4 linked regions of the Drosophila melanogaster genome follow. The protein of the gene in region 1 interacts with the protein of each later gene in a pairwise test. Each region holds a gene or a part of one and is shown in the gene's direction. Other genes may lie near its edges.

Evidence for each region.
Region 2: the proteins of CG10265 (region 1) and CG3726 interact in a two-hybrid assay, tested with the Drosophila melanogaster proteins (one large-scale study listed by BioGRID).
Region 3: the proteins of CG10265 (region 1) and vnd interact in a two-hybrid assay, tested with the Drosophila melanogaster proteins (one large-scale study listed by BioGRID).
Region 4: the proteins of CG10265 (region 1) and CG17625 interact in a two-hybrid assay, tested with the Drosophila melanogaster proteins (one large-scale study listed by BioGRID).

Annotation. Positions count from the first base shown.
Region 1 is NT_033778.4:14,991,982-14,995,819, reverse strand, and holds CG10265 (uncharacterized protein), read left to right. Parts: upstream 1-1,984; 5' UTR 1,985-2,068; coding exon 2,069-2,308; intron 2,309-2,391; coding exon 2,392-3,174; 3' UTR 3,175-3,297; downstream 3,298-3,838.
Region 2 is NC_004354.4:5,915,212-5,920,145, forward strand, and holds the start of CG3726 (uncharacterized protein), read left to right. Parts: upstream 1-1,885; 5' UTR 1,886-2,416; intron 2,417-4,934. Other genes in the region: Shmt (serine hydroxymethyl transferase), read right to left, coding at 1,052-1,258.
Region 3 is NC_004354.4:589,099-597,092, forward strand, and holds the start of vnd (ventral nervous system defective), read left to right. Parts: upstream 1-1,943; 5' UTR 1,944-2,296; coding exon 2,297-2,853; intron 2,854-4,549; coding exon 4,550-5,208; intron 5,209-7,257; coding exon 7,258-7,994. UniProt on the Drosophila melanogaster protein: Probable transcriptional regulator involved in the regulation of the proneural AS-C genes and the neurogenic genes of the enhancer of split complex. Could specifically activate proneural genes in the ventral-most neuroectoderm.
Region 4 is NT_033777.3:22,685,051-22,687,908, forward strand, and holds CG17625 (uncharacterized protein), read left to right. Parts: upstream 1-1,798; 5' UTR 1,799-1,853; coding exon 1,854-2,282; 3' UTR 2,283-2,357; downstream 2,358-2,858. Other genes in the region: Gclm (Glutamate-cysteine ligase modifier subunit), read right to left, coding at 443-1,300; wfs1 (wolfram syndrome 1), read right to left, coding at 2,517-2,858.

The DNA of each region.
Region 1 (3,838 bases):
GCCATGGCATGTGTTCATTGTCCAAGAGCAGTTCATGCCTGGTTACGCATCCCTATGTGTGTGTGTGTGCCAGTGAGTGTGTGTGTGTGTGGTGGGGTGCAGGACAGGTCGGGGGGCAGTTGGCATATCAACTGGTCGGACATGGTGTAAACACGTTTAATGTTGTTGCCATTGTCGTTGCCGTTGCCATTGCCATCGCATGGCTGCAGTTGCTCCTCCTGGCAAGCTGGCTGGCTGGCGAGCCCTCGGAGTCACGGAGCCATGCAGCCATGGAGCCATGGAGCCACCTAGCCACGGAGCTCGTCCTCTTCTGGCGCCGTCTCCTTTGCCACGTTTAATTTAATCTACTGGCCAAAGCTGCAGCCGCTACCTTGACATGGTCTGCACTTCAATCTGCATGCACGGCGTACAGTGGTGCCTGGCTATATCCAAACTGTTAGCAGCCAACAAGCTAGTTTCGAATTGTGTCTAATTTGTGTAGAAGCATCACAGCACAGTCAGGCGTTTTAAGGGAAGCTAATATCTTCTATTTAGGATCAGTACAATAAACAATACAAATAATAACAGTTATATACTTTAAGCGGTATCCACTGTAGTTTGCGTCCTGGCTGCTCGAGTGCACCGCAGGTCCATTTAACTTAGCTTTGGCAGTGGCAGTTAGTAGTAGTAGTAGTAGTGGCAGTGGCAGCGGCAATGGGGTTCCAGCTAGCTGGCCACCTTCTCCGCTTCCTCGACTTGGTGCATCACTCAAATGCCGGGGAGCCCCGCAGGCCCCCAAACGAGGCGACAGGAATGCGTGTGTGTAGCAGAGCGTGTGCAAGTATGAGTGTGGGCAACGTAATTTGCATGGTCAGCTTGCAGTTTTGGGACACACAGAGTGGCAAGTTGTGCCTCGCTCTCGTCCCTGGCTTAATTGCATGCAGGAATAGCAACTGCAGGAGCAGCCTCATCAGCATCGGCAACTTCATCCAATTGCCGCTGGAGCTGCGACCCACAGATCCATACAATTTCCGGGCTGTAAGCGATGCGGCTCTTTAAAGTTCACTTATTAAGTTGCAAGAATAGCAGGAAAATTCAACCAAAAGTGGGCCAGTTTGAAAAATATCAAGAATATGCCAACGATACTCACCTACGCTCTGCCGGGTGATTATGCTGCACGTGGTTCGACATGGTCCGTGCTCGTTATGCGGAACATTACAACAACAAAAAAAAAAAATTTAATATATATGTAGGTACGCAAAAAGTGCTGGATTTCCTTTTCATTTGTTTTCCACACACACTAGACAGACATTCGAGTTGAAGTCAAAATCAGACAATGTTCCCTCCATATGGCTCCATATCACATTGGTCGAAAAAATGGCAAGCTTACAAATGGCGCAGTCCCCGGCTGCATAAACGATGTCATTTTTTGGATTGCCCAATTTTTTTTTAGGTAGCTTGCGAATCATTTGCAAGCGATTTAATTTCAATTGCATGGGCGTTAATCAAAGGAAACAAAAGCCAACACGGGAAAAAGAACAAAGAAAACGCTAGTCCACTTATTCGACAATGTAAAAGAAAGCAGAGAGTTACTATTAATGCAGCAAAAAATGAGCAGGAGCAGTTCAAATAAAATCTTTCCAGTAATTTTCGATTCATGGACCAAAAACCGTAAACAAAAAAATCGTTCTATTTTACATAGTGAAAGTATGTTTTCATCTATTTTTTATCAATCTGAGCAAAACTACATATAAACATAAATTATTTATATAATATTTATATTAAATTATTCCAAACATTTTATTATACCATTTATATATCGTCATCCTTATCAAATCTTATATCTAAATGTTTTTTTTTTTAATGTGTAATGTGTTTTTCCTATTTGGTTTTTTGTGTGCTTTGAATTTAGGCGCGCAACAAAATGAATAGCAACTGTTTGGTATTTTTATGTCAGATTTTGTACCAACTAAAAATCGTTGACATCTACTACGTTTCAACGTCTGGCCACTCTGCACGAATGCAAAAACAAACTGAAATAATTTTTTAATACCATTTTTCTTCTTGGCGCGAATTGGCTACAAAAAAAATGAATGGATCGCGTAAAATAAAGTCCATGAAGACGATTCGCCTTGGCGACGTTCTATACGACGACCAAAAACGACTTCTAACGCTGTGCCGCAGCTGCGAATGCCACTTTATGACGCTCCAATCGTTCCAACGCCACCTAGCCGATTGCCCCGGAGTAAAATACATAGTAACGCCGATCGAACCGCTGGCATTTGATGATGCCAATCGGGAAACGAGACTGGTGAATGGCAGACAGGAGGTAGGCAGCTAAGGGAGCTCCATGATCCGGCGTTGCCCTGAAAACTTCCTGAGAATCCTTTTGATTGAACTCACTTCTTGCAGATTCACATCTACGACCTGGAGGCGGTTAAGAAGAACACCAACACGGCCATCGATTGGGAGGCAGAGCTGGAGGATCCACGCTGGTACACCAATCCCAAGCCCACCGTGCAGACCATACCAAAGACAAATTCCAAGGAAAATATAGTAAAGGAGGATGTAGTGCCGCTCGCCAAGGAGCCTCAGGAACCGGAAGGGGTGCCTGCGAAACGTCCGCGTAGCCCTCCCACCACCCGACGTACCATTCTGACCTCCCAGCAGCAGCGCAGATCCCGTGCCTGCTTGACTTCCCCTCAACCGCCAGCAGTAAAGATGAAAAAGGCCATCATTCTGGTGCCCACTGTGCTGGAAGATCTGAAGCGATTGCAGGACACGGAGAAAAAGGAAAGGATTCCAGAGGCACCACCAGCTCCTGTACATCCTGTAAGGTCATTGCAATCTCGTGCTACCGGGACAACGCAGTCAACATCTCAATTGGTACCCATGAAATTTTCTCCTGCATCGAAGCTTATTATACCAGTCTCTTCAAGGATATCTGAAGTACCAGAACCTCCCAAGACGCCCGAGAAACCAGTTCCTACCATAACAAGCAAATCAACTCCTCCATTGGATGGCACCCAGAAAATCCTAAACAAACTCAGAGCATGCGGTGTGGAGGTGAAGCGAGCAAGTACCCAATTGAATGCCACGACTGAGCTAAATCCAACCAAAAATCAAGAGACCTTGGACATCATGAGAAAACTGCAATCCAAGGGCATCAGATGCACCAAAGTAAGAAAATCGTAGTTGTATTCGCCGTAGTGTAAGGATGGTGCCATTAAATGTGCCTCTGGAGGCGAGGATTTAGCAATATAACTTTATTTAATTTAAATGGAGATTAATAAATTCCCGGATAGCGTTTATAACTTTAATAGCAAGCGAGTCTCTTTATTATCAAATCGCTTAATTTTAAATGTTTTATTTTGGTTTTTTTGCTCAAGCAGTGTGACCTTTTGATGCGACAACGTTATCGATTTAATATATCGACTATACACTAGTGGTGGCTATTTAGCTTATAAATGTATTGAACTATATTAAATAATTAAAACTATATATCACTCAAACAATGCCGTTTAAATACTTTGAAGACGGTAATCACATGTTCCATACAAAATGTTAACAGTCCTAGCTTTTTTTATGTTGTCCATTTATGTAGCTGAAAAGTTGGCATCACTGTGTAAGAAGAAGAAGCAGCTTGTTGATTTTTGGTGCCGCACGCGTTTCGGTCGAAAGTAATTGGAAATATTTGTGCTTGCGCCCGGCGTTATATATATTTTGTAGTACTCGAAACACTGCCGAATCCAAATCCAAAATTCGCGTGTGCACACCCACCTGCCGAGGCGGTACCAATTAAAAGGTAGGTCAGCTGACGACGATGGCAGCCAATTCGGGCTTACATAATTTGGGGACA
Region 2 (4,934 bases), on another chromosome or scaffold:
GACCCCCCATGGATGGGAGAGCGCGTCTATTTGCGATCCGCTTATCGTCAAGTGATTATCATCCGTCTGGGTCACCAGTTCAAGTCGCCGGACGACGATAAGGACACTGCCCCCCCTTTGCAGCTGACGCACTTCGGAAAGATCGGGAAACGTACGTATATAGTCGAAATGGAGAATATTGGCAGAAAATGGACAAGTTTATATGTATGTAGCTTCCTCCAGCAAATTACGTATCTCTAGTACCATTTTGTTGTTCAACGTTTCCAGCTGCTAACTAATAATCCCTGGAAGATTCTTCTATTTTCAACGCAGAAATGAATTGGACACGCAAAATTTTAGCTGCAAAAACTGGAAACTGGTGATTCCCACTAAATTGAATGCTAATTTCTGGCCACAAGTTGAGTGCAAAATGCATATACATATGTATGTATGTATATTTATATACAAATCTGCCCACACGAATGGGAAATTCGATTTAATGGCCAATGCCAGATTCTTTTTTTTTTTTGCGTTATCAGTTTAAATATTTAGACAAGTGCAAACGAGAATGACAACAACAATGCTCGATAGGGCGCAAACAGCCGAGAAATTCGAGTAGGCCCAAAAACGAGTTTCAGGCCGAGGTAGCGAATGTGAATCAAAAAGATTCAAACTTGGCGCATGGCGACGTTTTGAATACACTAACAGTACACTGATACAAATACGGTACATATATGTACATATGCTATAAGATCTCAATTAAACTACACATGTACATAGGTACTTAACAATGATACTACTATAAACAACACTTTCAGCGGATCGATGGCATGCCATCCACGTAGGGATAGTGCAGTGTGGGAACACATGGCTGAATGAAACGCATGAAGCACATGGCGATTAGCCGGGCATGCCAGGAGCCGCAAATGGAAGCGAAACACAAACTTTCTGAGCACCGCGATCACTGCAAGAATTAAAGGCAATCGAAATGCGAGTCCCCCAAATGGTTCAATTAGCCACACTTTTTCCACCCTCCCCTTCACTTTGCCTGGGACTTTCCCGGCGAACTCACCTTCAAAGTGCTCTGCTTGGAGTCCGAATATCGTCTGATCGCCGGTAAGAATGGCGTTGGTGATGGTTGTTTTTTGGCGGCGATGCGAGTTAAAGCTCCGCTAAGCTTTCCAGTCTCGAAGTTAACCGGGTTGCCAACTTTGGTGTTCAGGTCCCGACTAAGGCAAAACCGAAGCTTTTGTGTCAGTGTAGAGCGCGCCCGCTGCATGTCTTTGTAACTGTAATAAGCAGAATTTTATAGATTTTAGTGGATGTTTTTCAACAATCCTTGGTAATTATTAGTACTCACACGGCTGCGTTCGAATCGGAACTGCCGCAAAGTGAGAAGAGTCGCCGGCGCTGAGATGACGCCGCCGCTGGCTGATAAGCGATAACGATAACCCGTGACCCCTGACCGACCCAGTGATAAGTCCGCCCAAGAGTTCCGACCCGATCGCTGCGCTATCTCTTGGCCAGCATCCAAAATATTCGACACCGAAAATACAACGAAGCGAAAACACGCGTTACGTTGGTAAACAACATTTACCAGGCTAACAGATATCAGCTGTTTGGGTAGTTGGATCGCTGGATTTAGAAGCTTTTGGCGCCGTCTGGCAACGCTAGCGATAGCTACCAATTCTTGTATAAATATTTACAATTTGTGGAAATGTTAAGCGTGTGTGCCTCTTCAATTAATATTAACACTTTATTTTATATCATAATATGCGTTTCTCTCAATCCCTTAAAATGTACGTAGTTATCAAACGCGCGATAACGTTAAGGCATTTAAAGTACCCGCCAAATTGCTGGTACTGCGAACCGGTTTAAGTTGCCAACCGATTGGGAGAGTGCAACATCTCTCTCCAGCAACATTGCTGCCAGCCAAAGTCTATATAAGCAACAACGAAAGTTCAATTCTTTTCACTCAAAAATCCGTCTCCTCCGCGGTACGTTTCACTTCGCTGCGCCGCTAAAAGAAAATTCCTGGAAAATATTAACAAACACATGAGCCTAACATTCTTAACAATTCCAAAACAGAACATTTATTTTTGGTGAATTTCCTGACAATTTAGTGGTTAGTGTTTAATGTTAAAACATTGCTGTGCGCATTTACCGTTATCCGCTCGCAAGGCAAAAGAAAAAGCGCGCGTTTTGAATTCGCTGTTTCGCATTATTTTTTTTTATGTTAAAAAACAAAATATAGAAATGAAACAAAAATGGCAAGCCAGAAATTAAATGAATGAATGAATTTTTTTCGACACAATTCTGCTGCGTGTGCAATTCGATTCGAATAACAAAACAAAAAGCATAAAGGAAAAGTAAAAGAAATTCGAGGGGGGAAAAAAACGCCAAAAGAAAAGATAGCGCGAAAAGTCATAAAGAAAAGGTGAGAAAACAAATTATTTATTTCATGTGCTAAAAAGACACGCAAAACGAACGTCGTTTTATTTTTAGCCAAACAAAAGTTGTGTGTTATTTGTGCGATTTTCTGTTTTTGTTCGCCGCTCTCCCCTTGTTTTTTATCGTTTTTGTTTTTCAATCATATATTTTGTGCTTCTTTTTTTTTTTGCATGTTTTGTTTTGTGCGTGCTCTTTTTTGTTGAATGCAAAAAGGCGAACAAAATATTACGATAAAAATTCCGTTGTTCTCGCCGAAGGTTTCCGGGTTTGTTGACTTTGCCAGCTGAATATTCGAAATTGACATAAATAATAATCGCATGCAATTATTGTAAACAATTGTTTTTCGCTCAGGAAACGATTGGCGCTTTTTCTTCGCTTATTGTAATTGTTGCTGCCAACTAATCGCCAAGATAAAAATGAAAAAAGAGGGGAAAAAACCTACAGAGTTGCAAAAAATTAATTAAATTCATAGGCCAGTAATTTACATTTTTTGTGTGATTTTTTCGCTTTTTTTGTAGTTTTTGTCTAAGCTTGATAATTAGGGTTTTTTGCGGGCTGTTGTTTATCTGCTACAGTTGTACCCAAAATAATAGTCGATGCTTAAAAATGTTTACAAAAAATGTAAATTTTTGTGGCGCTTCAAATAGCTTTACTACGATTTCGAACACAATTGTATATCTTAAGTTTTGGGGCTATTTTTTGTGCTGGTTTTAAATTTTGGTTTATCGGTTTTTGTTATTTCTGTGGCTTTTAGTTTTCTTCTTCACCTGTTTAGCCTTATTTTTTGTTGTCGATTTCGGCTTATTTGTTTTTAGTTTTTTGTTGCACTATTTGAATGCGAGTTTTTTTGTTGTTGAGAGAGGCATTTCCGCCTTTATGGCAAAAGCAATTTACAATTTGCAATTTACTTTTCTCTCGTTTTTTTGCTGTATGGCAATTCATTTTTACAACTTTAATTATATGAACAAAAACTGCAAAACATGAACGGCAAAAATTAAAATTGCAAATCGCATTTGAGTGACGTCGCCGTCAACGTTTCTCCTTCCTTTTGTTTTTGTCGGCTGTTTTATTCGGTTTTTTGTTTTCACAGCGGCATTCGCCTGCGCAAAAAAAAATAAAACAGCGAATCAGTGTGTGGAAGATTGTGTGGAGGGGGGGCAGAGAGCGAGAGAGAGAGAGAGGAAGAGAGCGTATCAGGAGCGAATCTGGAAATTTTTGAACCAAGCTACCGATTTGCAAGAAGAACATGAAGTTAACAAAATATATAGGTTATTGAGCAACAAAATTACGTAAAACATTTAAGATATTTAATGGCACTTAACTCGAATATTTACCCCCTGATCCGGCCCTGGCTTCTGTGCGCTAGTGTTGGTGTGCGTGAGTGCTCTCTCTCTCGTTCGCTGCTCTCTGCTCCCCATCTTCATCGACCCCCCACCACCCGCCTTCGCCCCACTCACACACATTTCAATTACATGTGAAACGCGTGCTCCAAATTTCAAGTTCATTGTCCAAAAACAAATCAGAACAAAAGCGATAACAAACAAGCAAGCCAAAGGCAAAAAAACAAGGGCAGGTCAGCATCCGACGTGCCACGCCCCCAAATTTGGAATATATACATACATATATGCATATATGTTCATATACATACCTATGGACATAATTAATTAATTTATAAATGTGGGAGAAACGCTTAAATAAAGCCTAAAATTAGTCTAAAACTACAACGATTGATATTCCAACAAAACCAAATTCGAAATATAAAACATTTTCAAATCGATTTCGAATAAATGCATATTTACCTGGGCTTCGAGATTTGAAAGCTTTGCATCTAGATTTCATTATCATAAATTATTCGTAATATATGATATATCATGTAAAAAACTTTTGGGTATTCCCACAGTCGAGTCGAAATAAAGCCGTGAAGTATTTATAACAAAATCACACTTATTTTCGTGTTATTCCGCAACCAAATAAAAATTCTTTAGAAAAACAATGCGGCAGTAGGAAATAAAGCAAAAAACGACACAAATTTTGACACGAAATATTGTTTTTCGTGTGTGATTATTTTGTTGTTGTCATTTTTTGTCATACCAGCTTTAAGTTTAGTTTACTCTATGTGTTTATTTATTTTCATTTTGGTAGTTGGCAAATAAAATTCGCTTACGTAAATTTTGGGGTTGTTTATGTTTTGCGCACTATATATGAAAAATGATAACTATAATTTGCAATGCGTAAATAATGTTTGTCAAATGCCGACAAAGTTCCTTAAATCTATTCACAGCGTTTTCAATTTCAATTTCGCCGAAAAAGGGTTTGATTTTGCAACCATTTCTTTTTCATTGAGCTCCCCACTTTTTTTTTCCCTCATTCTCTGATATCAGCTCATATTTATAATTAAAAACAAACAATAAAAAACTGCACTGCAGACGGCAAATCGGAAAAATATAACAAAAAATAAAAAGAAAAGAAGCCATAAATATACACACATATGTGTATAAATATTT
Region 3 (7,994 bases), on another chromosome or scaffold:
GGTGCGCACGGTATAACTCTCCTGCTCGCACGCTCTTCCCATTGGCCAGGCGGCCATGACGCGCCCACTTGACGGCGACGTCGTCGTCGGCAGAGGTTATTACAAGATAAAATTCTACCCCCTCCACTTACCACCTCCATTCCCCCATGGGGAGAATAATGGTGCGAAGTCATGAGCGACAGTGGGGTGCCCACTTTTAGAGGGCGGATGCTCGTGGATAGGGATCATGGAGCTTCCTTCATATACACAACATATATTTATATATATATATATATATATATATATATATATATATATGTATATGCATATTCTGATATATGTATATAGCCCCCAGCCCATATGTAAATGGGGCCAGCCCCAACGGACTCTTGCCATGTTTTCAATTGCCTCGGGCGGATACCCCCAGTTCAGTCTGTCCTGTCGTTTACTGCTCGTGCTGATTATGTATATTCCCATACTTTACTTTCGACCTCCTCGCTCGCACTCTCCCTATCTGTGAGTGTCCGGGGTGTGTCCCGAAGCCACCTCTCAAGGAACGGCGCCATGTATTGGCGTTTGAAGGATCTGCACTAATCACGAGTTGGCTTACGAGTATGAAATCGAAATTCAAATTGCACGAACAGCGACACTCCTTGTACATAAGGCCCCTATGTCAGTGCCAAAGTGGTCTATAACAGTTCCGTTGCACGCAAGAAATTTATTGCAATTCCCAAAGAACGTACCGTGAAGTAAACTAAATGTCCAAGTATAATAGCATACCACTAACACGGCAGAAGAAAATAATGCCTTCGCAAAAATAACGTTCTTTCACCGGTATGGTAATGTGAGAATGCCTTTAAAAGGGTTTTCGCAGTGCGCCTTTTAAGTATTAAAATAATAGTTCGTGGTTCAAAATAAGATTTCGTTGCTGACTAATATAAAATCACAAATATGTGATCAATCCTCCCCAGATCTAATCATGGTTGGTACTCAAAATCTCAAAGTATTACAACCCGACTGGGATTTTAAATGATGAATTGATCTGATTCTTAAATAGCCAACTACATATAGAAAAGGCGAGAGCGTAATTCCAGAAAATTTTTCTTATCGCCCTCGTTCCTCAATAGGATAATGGCTGATATCACCATCTGATATTATCGTGCTAAATGCCGGTCACAATCGCATGTCTTGCCCTGTCCTGTCCTCTCCTTGGACCCACCGCATAGGCGCCACAAGTCGGGGCTGATGTTCCCGCTCCGGAAGTCCAGAGTTGCAGAGAGCTGATAATGATAAATACAATTAAATGACGCGGGGAATGCTGACAACATCAAGTGCAGAGCACTGCTGGAAGAGAACGGCCCAATCCCAGAATCCCTATCTGGGAACGTCAATCCGACGTGCCTGAGGAGGTTCGTGAGGCGCTACAATGGCCTCGCATCCACACTCACTCTCGCGCACACACAAGCAAACATACACAGAGGCTGCAGCACACACACACTCTCACTCAAGTGGCACTCTTGAGAGCGGCAGAGAAAGCAACAGGAAAGAGTTAGAGCGGGATGACGTGCGGCATAAGGACTCGGTTCACATCGTACGTCTCGCTCTGGCGACGAATGGTGGTTGGTTCTCTCGGTGGTTGAATAGGCCACTCACATTGTTGCCGTATCCTTGTTGAAAAGGACATAAGAAGCCACTTAGCGCGCCCAACAAAGCCGAGAGTCTCTCCAGTCTGGCTGTGTGCGTGTGTGTGTTTGTGTATGTGTGTGTGTGTGTGCGACTATCCGAGTATCTGCGTTATGTACCCAATGGCAGAGGGATGCAGATACAGATATGCACCACATACATAGTGATACCCAAAGACACCCCGAGCATACGACCTGGTACTTTTCTGCCGTTGGTTGTTGGGTTTTGGTTATTGGCTGTTCTGAAGCGACTTGGACTCGTGTTGAGTTCTTGATGCCTCGTTAGTTGTTGATGACACTTCAGTTTGGAATGTGTAGAGTGCGCTGCTCCGCGGACCCGTGCAACTGAGAAATCGAGAAACGACTCGCGACCCTTGAACTATCGAACTTTCCCGGTGATAAACTTAAACTTAAGCCTAAATCGAACTATGTCTGGAATTTAAGTTGCCCTACCAGGATACCCGCTTAATTCATCGCAGTGCTACCCAGTAACTACACATAAACATATTTTTTTTCCGTGCTCCGAACACCGTAAAAGCTCCAAAGTGGCGGAGAAACGCAAAAGTCCGCCCACGCCGCCACCCGCGTCGCAGCGTAGTAAATCAAACAGTGGTTCCCCGATATCGCAAAGCGATATGACCACGTCGGCGTCCTTGGAGAGGACCCCCTCAAAGCGGGATCGAGATCGCGAGCGGGACAACAGCAGCGGTCTGGGCAGCGCTGGCAGCTTGCCCGCATCGCCCCAAAGCGCTATCACGGTGAGTCCGTCCTCCCCAGCCACGCCGAAGCGCCCGCTGCGCACCTCAACGCCCTCGCTGGAGCGGAAGAGGGAGCGTGAGGATCGAGAGGACCGGGAGGATCGCAAGGAGCGGCAGGAACGGCACGAGCGAGACAGAGATCACGAGAGATTCGCCGCAGTCTTCAGCACCGCCAGCACCACCGTGCCCACGAACACAAGTTCCAGTTCCGGATTGGCGCCCGAACAGCTCCGCATTCCGACGGGTGCAGCCGCCTTCAGCGGATTTCCGGGGCTCCACAGCATGAGTAGTCTTATGCTTCCATCGTCGGCGGCTGTGGCCGCCGCAGCAGCGGCCCCGTTTCTGCCCTGGTCGCCCATCCTGCTGCCGCCGTGGAACCACGCCCTCCTACCAGCCGCCTTTTATCCGGCGGCCCTGCGAAACGCTTTGCCTGGGTAAGCACAAGGATTCCAATGGAATAATTAAAACATTGATACCTCTGGAGTGGTGAACACAAACCTATGATTCATATGTCTTGGTTACGAAAAGCATATTTTGGTGATACGTTGACACAAGTCCATTCTAGTTCTTCTAATTATGACCTCTGTTTTGTGGGCTATTTATAAACGCTTAAGCATTGGTAACACTTTGATGGCATGGATCTGGCCAAGATATGGATAATAAGGACATGCCTCAGATTGAAACAAAATTACTGACCACCGACAATACGTTTGCCTTTCATGGCTGACCACTTTGTAAAAAACAGATATGGTTTTCAAGGTTTTGGGTTCCCGATTAATTTTCTATGTCTTTCTATTAATTCTCCTAATCTAATAATTTGGAAGATTGGGCGTTGAAAGCAGAATCTGCAGAATACGCAAGACCATTAATTAATTCTCCTAATCTAATAATTTGGAAGATTGGGCGTTGAAAGCAGAATCTGCAGAATACGCAAGACCAGCCATACTTTGCAATTGCCTTCGCCTAAGCTCCGACTTAAAATCACACCCTGCGAGCCTCTGCCTCCATATTAGTGTTTAGATCCCATATAGCTGATGGACTTGTCCGGCTAATCCTGGTAGCTCTTTAAATTAACCAAGCGGGCACAGCGCGCAAGTACAGGACACAGGGTATAATTCCCCGCCTCTTTGATCTGGCAAGTACTCAAGGTCCTGGCGAATGGCGGTTGGGAAATTCTGGCTTGTTGTTCGACCCTGGCTTAGAAATTCCCGTAGGTGAGAGCCAGGGAAACCCCAATCGGGAATGACATGTGTACGACAGACATGGGACTCAGATGCCTTCGAGATACTGGCGTCACACTGTCTGGCAATGGGATTTCCGCTCAGGAGGACGGGGAATGCCCGTGTAGCCTGTCCATAGCGTGGGAAATTCGCGAGTCGGGGTCTTCGGGAAAACTCGAAATGGGAAAACCGGAAGCAAGCAAACTTGCGCCAACATGTGGCACGACCTGTTTCGACCCGTAAAGAGTCCCTGCTGACCTGTGCTGACCTGCACTGACCCGACCAGGTAGCTGCGATCCTTACGAGGCGGATTTGCGTTTAATTGTTGATGGTATTAGGCAAATCAAAACTCGGGGTCTGACCGGGACTAGGTGTCAATAATCCAGCGATTTGGGTGCACTTATTCAAAGTTAATTCCGGGGGAAATGTGCGCGTTTTCGGTTCCGAAGCATGCCTGCAGGATGCACACCCCCCACCTCCTTATCTTCTTAACAACGGCAAGTGCAAAAATCTGTGAAAGTCAGAGCGCTACAGGTAGTGCAGGTAGTTTCCTTTGCATATCCCGACCAACAGGGACCTCCTTTTGTTAAACCTTCCGGCCATTCACACGATTGACACAGGATGTCGCTGCAATAAGCATGAAACAGGGAAAAATCGTTCCACGTCCTCTAAGGAGCCATCTTTATACTCGGGGAGTCATTAATCACTCGATTATATGACAATTTGCCGGGACAATTAAGAAACTACACAGAATCTCAAGAAAAACTATTACAACTCATCTTTGGTATGCTTTTTGCCTTTTTTTCTTTAAAACTGTAGGCGAGTGCTCAATTGAAATGAGAAATAAACATTTAACTCAAATTTTTAGTGTTGAAGTTCAGTTAGAATTAACATATTGATCTCCTTGCAGCTTATTCGATGCAAAGGTGCCGTCGTCCCAACGCTCTGGCTTCCATATATCGGACATCTTGAATTTGGAGGGCTCTGAGCTGAAGAATGCAGCAGCTGCCGCCGCTGCTGCCGCCCACCATGGCAGCGATTTGAGTCACCACTCGGCCAGTGAGTCCACCAGTGGACATCGCGGCCAGGGATCTCACACCTCGCCTTCGGCGCTGTCGCCCACGCCAGCGGGCGTTTCCGCGGACGAGCACCACAATGGCAGCGGGACTGGGGGAGGAGCGGGAGAAGCGGATCACCACAGCACCACCGAGCATCACGCCCCTCCTAGCCATCCGCAGCAACAGCACCCGCACCACCAGCAGCACCACCACCCTCACCTCCTCCTCCCGCAGCAGCACCATCAGCAGGCGGTGGCCCCACTCCCTTTGGCGCACCATCAGAGCGGCGAAGCCCAAAGCCACGCCCATGCCAATGCAGCCGCCGCCCATCTGCTGGCCAGCCACAATGCAGCGGCTGCGGCTGCTGTGGCCGCCGGCCAATATCTGCCCAACCTGCCCAAGAACTTCCCGGGGAGCTTTGGCGACGAGATGTCCTCGTACCACCACATGGCCCAAACCATGCTGCAGCACTCGGGCAGGAGTGCGTGGATCAAGGAGAACGAGCTATACGGTGAGCGAATGTTTCAACTCATAAATGGATACGCATGTATCCATTTTCATTTGCTCCATTTCCAGGAGATAGCTCCTGGCCATATCAATAACCAAGTTAGAGTTGGCTTTTTGAAGAAGCAACACTTAAATGGCAGGTTGTAAGCAAGTCTTTGGATCCCAAACAAATATCCTTTTGAATCGTGGGTAGGCAAAAGAGCAACGAATTAACTTGGTTTCAAAATAGACTCATCAATGAAGTCCGCAGGAAGCTCCCTTTAAGAAATTTACAATTTTCGACTGCATTTAACCCCCGATTAACTGGCCGACTAATGATACTGTTCCGTAACTAACCACTCACTGCTCCCGAGAGCCAGAGAGTTGAAGCAGTCGAGCGATGAGGCAGCTGTATTTGCATACCCTGTGGACTCGACGGATTCACGTGCTTCCAGGGTGTGACAAGCTTTGTTTAATTCTGGCCCTGTTGTGTTTTATTTTCGTTGGCAGTTAACTGCGGATCGAAATGGGTATATAACTGGGAATCAAGGAGCAGGGGTTGGGCTTCCCCTTTAATCATGACTAATAGTTTGTATGCGCTTCACACTTGAGGATTAGCCCTGTTGTTTTTCTGGCAGTTGACGTCCTTCGTGTCCTTCGGCCAGGACATTCAATCGCTGCCCGCTCGATCGCTTCTTGTTGTTGCGGCCCAAACATTTCTCATCCTGGAAATTTATGGCACGCACTTCCGCCTCATCCCTTCCCACTTCTGTTATTATTCCTTTATTGTTTAGCTACAAATTATAGCTGCTGCCCACTTGCCGTTTTTTTATTTTCTCTTTTCTGCTCTTTTTTTGGGAGTTTCCACAGCTGTGAAGGAGTCGAGGAAGAGTCATTTTGATTATATTAAGTTATTAATTTGTTGAGTTGTCATGGTGAGCGCATGGCTTCCGTGGCAGGGCAAATGCGGCTAGCTCGGTGGGAGCTGATAGGCGAGCATTAGGAGCTCCTACGACCCTTGCATTTGTTGTTTTATCAATGTCCCACGGGGACATCACCCCGGGCAGGTGAATACACACATTAGAAGACATTTTATGAAATACATTGCAATAGGAATAGAAATGCAGATAGGACGCGTTCCGATTCTTTGGAATGCTGCCTTCGCAGCACTATATCCAAAAGTTCGAAAGCTAGGAAGAACTAAAGGGCTTCTTTTTGATTTTCTATAGTTACATGCCTCGTTTGAAGTTGCCTGAATACTGGCATAAGCCCACTTCTAATACCTCTGCAACCGCAGATCCCGCCCCAGAATATCAGAAATAGCCACACCCGGCGATAAATCACTAAATCACTATCTGTTGGAAGTTCGGAACTCTTGCGAAAGGGGGCGAACCGGAAGAGACCCGGCTACCATTGATGTGTTTGAGGTCTGGCTTTTGTGTCGTTGTCCCATTAGTATCCTGGTTGCTGGTTTTTAGTACAGGCCCAGGATCAGCAGTCATTCAGCGAGAGATCGAAGCGATCGTTTCAGGTAGACGACAAGGGAATACCCACCTAGGCATGTATTTTTGTATGTATTTGTGTGCGATCTCTGTTTGTCTCCGCCTAATTGGCGTTGTTAGGGTGAAGCTCGTAGGGGATGGGCAGGGGTTGATTTGACGCTGCGGACCATAAGGAGTGCATACATCTGGCATTTGACATTTGGATCGTTTCCGACCACAGCTTCATGTTGCGCCTAATCCAATTGCCGTAGTTGCGATACTGACTTCCCCCTTTTGTCCCGAATTCTGCATGATCACTTGGACGATGTGGAGGGGTGTGTCGCTACATTAATTTACGGCTAAAGAGGTTTCTCAATTGCTGACAAATTCCCACCCAGGGCTCGCACCCTGCCATTGCCTTTCCATTCTGTAGGACCATTGTGAAAAATGCAAATAAATAAATGGCTATCCCAAGCAATTTATTCCTCAATTAGCAGCATATTAAGAAGGGAGTTTTCTCCCGGTTTTAGCCATATATCTACTACGAAGAATTAGCACATTAACCAAAACCTTGATTTCCTCTTTGATTTCAGGTACCCAGCAGCCCGCCAGTCCGGATAGCACCTCCCCAGTTACCTCGGAAGTGTCGTACACCTACATTGGTTCCAACTGCCAGACATCGCCTGCCCTTTCCGGCGATTACAAGAGCTACAGCCGGTCGGCCGATAGCGATGCACTATCCGTGGGCGACGCCCTGCACACCCTCCATGGATCCTCTGGTAATGGAAGTGCCGGAGGCGCTCCGACGGCCCATGCCCTACACAACAACAATAATAATACGACAAACAACAATAACCACAGCCTGAAGGCCGAGGGGATCAACGGAGCAGGCAGTGGTCACGACGATAGCCTCAACGAAGATGGCATCGAGGAGGATATCGACGACGTGGACGACGCCGACGGCAGTGGCGGCGGGGATGCAAATGGATCCGACGGTCTGCCAAATAAGAAACGGAAGCGACGAGTCCTGTTCACCAAGGCGCAAACATATGAGCTGGAACGTCGGTTTCGACAACAACGTTACTTGAGTGCCCCGGAACGCGAGCACCTGGCCAGTTTGATCCGCCTGACGCCGACCCAGGTGAAGATCTGGTTTCAAAACCATCGCTACAAGACGAAGCGGGCGCAAAACGAGAAGGGCTACGAGGGTCATCCTGGTCTACTGCACGGCCATGCCACCCATCCGCATCACCCCAGTGCCCTGCCATCGCCCCGTCGGGTAGCCGTTCCAGTTCTGGTGAGGAACGGAAAGCCCTGCTTGGGCGATAGT
Region 4 (2,858 bases), on another chromosome or scaffold:
CGTCGGGCGAGACGCGTCTGCCTTTAATTAGATTTGAGTCCAACAGAAGCGGAGGCCTAGACAGCGATTAGTTGGGGCAAATAACAAGCCACAACAAGGAAATCACCAAGAGTACTCGTCTGCGACCAGAGCATATAAATTACACCAGCTGGACGTACACTTAATTTGTAGCCGAGGCATTCAAACCGGTTGGGGCTCAAATCGCTAAACCCCCAGCAGCTGGAAGCCAGTGACACACAATAGCCAATTGCCAATTGTCGTTTTTGAAACGCTTTATGTTCAGAATAAGTATTTTAAAATCGTTTACAGCAAAGTGAATCGATCGGCTTCGAATCATCAATTTGGGTTTTGTATAACAAACAATAAGTACACCACTGTACACAGCATACATTACAAACATTAAAACTATAGCCTAGCATCTGTATGTGGGAGTTACTTAAAACTAAACGCTCGACCTCGACGCGCCCACGATGTAGCCCTTGGCGGTGAGAACGCCCCGGCAGCGGACATGCACCTGGTAACGCAGTGTCCAGTCGATTGTGTAGCCAGGGACCAGTCCGTCGAACTGCTCCACGGGCAGCAGGAGCTCGGGATCGCTGTGCGTGTTCAGTTGGATGTCGTGAGCGGTGCAGAACTCCTGCAGTTCTGGTGGCACCACGCAGCACGTAGACAGGTTGACCTGGGCAATTGTGGGCACAACCTGTGCGCTGTTGTGTAGCTCCTCCAGCGCCGCCGCATCCAGATCGGCAATTCCCAGCTGTGTAATCTGCTGCTTGAGGGCATATTGCTCCAGTGTTTTGTACAGTTCCTTCAGCTCTGCCACTCCTTCCTTTCCATTGCGCTGGCTCCAGTTTGTAGCCCTGCTGACGTTGGAATCCTCGGAACAGGGCGGTTTGGTTGTGGCCACCGGCGTTGCGGTGGCAACCGCATTCGGGTGGTAGGCCAACACCACATTGTCCACGTGCGTCACACTAAGTATGTGGAGCAGCTCCTCCACCGCCTGATTCACAGACTCTGTGGAGTGGCGATTGAGGAATATCTTGGCACCGATACTTATCTCATTCCGTCCATTCTCCGTCAAGCGGGTGGTCAACTCCTGGGTGGCCCTTTGCACCCGCCCATGCAGCTCGTCGATCTCCTTTTCAACCACCACGCGCTCCGCAGTCGAGTCGGTGTGGAGCGTTATCTTCAGGCCGTCGTACAGCTCCTCGTTCGATTTGCGCTGTCCCAGTTCCGTGGCGATGATGTTGCCCGTGCTAATCACCACGTTCTGGTACTTCTTCGTTATGGTCGGTATCATGGTGACAAGTGTTCTCCTTATTTGGTATCTGCTACTTTCGCGACCGTCCAGACAACTGCAGCCCTCTCAGGTGTGTGAAACGCGTGTGTTCTCGAGCACCGACCGCTTGGCCACTTAAATACACTTTGCACCGAAGTGTGGAGAGAGAAATAAATTCTGCTGACAGCTGGTGATGGACGTTGGCCGATTGGCTTCGATAAGGTTATCGAAAAGTATCCATGCGCCGCCAGGGGTACTAGATCCAAATGAAATACAATTTAAAATTCGAATGTATAATAATAATTACAGTGTTGCCCAACTAATAAGTCTAGTGCCCTCATTGTTCATAAAAAGCATGACCATTGAAAATGTATTTAAAATTTGTATTTTAAGCTTATATATTTAGGTAGCTATTTATTTAATAAGGAAAAGCAGCCGGTTAATAAAACAATTTTATTGAGTACGTATGCCTTAAAATGTCATATCTAACCGGTAAATTGTAACGGTTTCCAGTTGTAACTGTTGTTTAAAGTGTTCAATTTGGAGATTTAGAGATTATAATAGAAGAACTAGGATGTGTGGACGGGCTGTGCGCGATTGGTTGGTGCTATTGACCATGGAGAAGTACATTGGTAAATTCCTGGAGCGGGGGTACGACAGCATTGAACGCTGCAAGCTTATTATCGTAAGCGATCTGATCATGCTGGGAGTGGATAATCCCGCTCATAGGAAGCTCCTGCTCGAGGGAGTCCGGTTCTTGGTCAACGCACCCGAGCAGTTCATCTGCAAGGAGCCGTGTGAGCTGCATGAGGAGATTGAACTGAAATTAGACCCGGATGTTGAGTTGTTTGCTTCGCTAAAGTGCCTGGAAAATGTTGATTTCCTAGAAACACCTGTTCCATATTCGCTAACATCTCCACAAAAGACGCTCACAACTCGGGACTCTTGCAAATGGAATGTCAAAGGTGTGGATCAGTTACCTTCCGATAACATATTTAACTAAATACAAACAAAGCAAAAAATAATGCGTGTGATAAGGATCTTTATATATTTTTAAGAACCAATAAAACGACAATTGAAAAGCTGTTTTACAACACTATCATAATCAACCAATATAATTTCGTAAATATTTTTCAGTTTAAATAAATACATATGTATCTATTATATTAAAGTAAAAAAAATGGGGTGAGCAGATTACAAGAAACTCATACTCCTGTGTTTTTTAATTTAATGAAAATTACTTAAACGTAATTAAAGGATTCAACAAAGCGTTCAACAAATACTTGATGCCTCTCATCAAATCTTGGAGGCGTGCATCCATGGGTGAAGCGGCCACCACTCGCTCGATGCTGGCCGTACCCAAATCCCGCGACCGGCACTCCACACACTCGATGGTTTTCAGCTTCACCTGCACGTTGTCAGCCAAAAGCCGAGAATTGTGCAGGATTCCATAGAATAGTACAACATCGCCCTCGCTTAGGAGCCGTGTGAAGTTCCCAAAGTCATGGTGAGCTCGTAGGATAACATCTGTGGTGGTGGAACGACCCAGTAGACGGCCACTCCTCTTGGTGCCCACCTT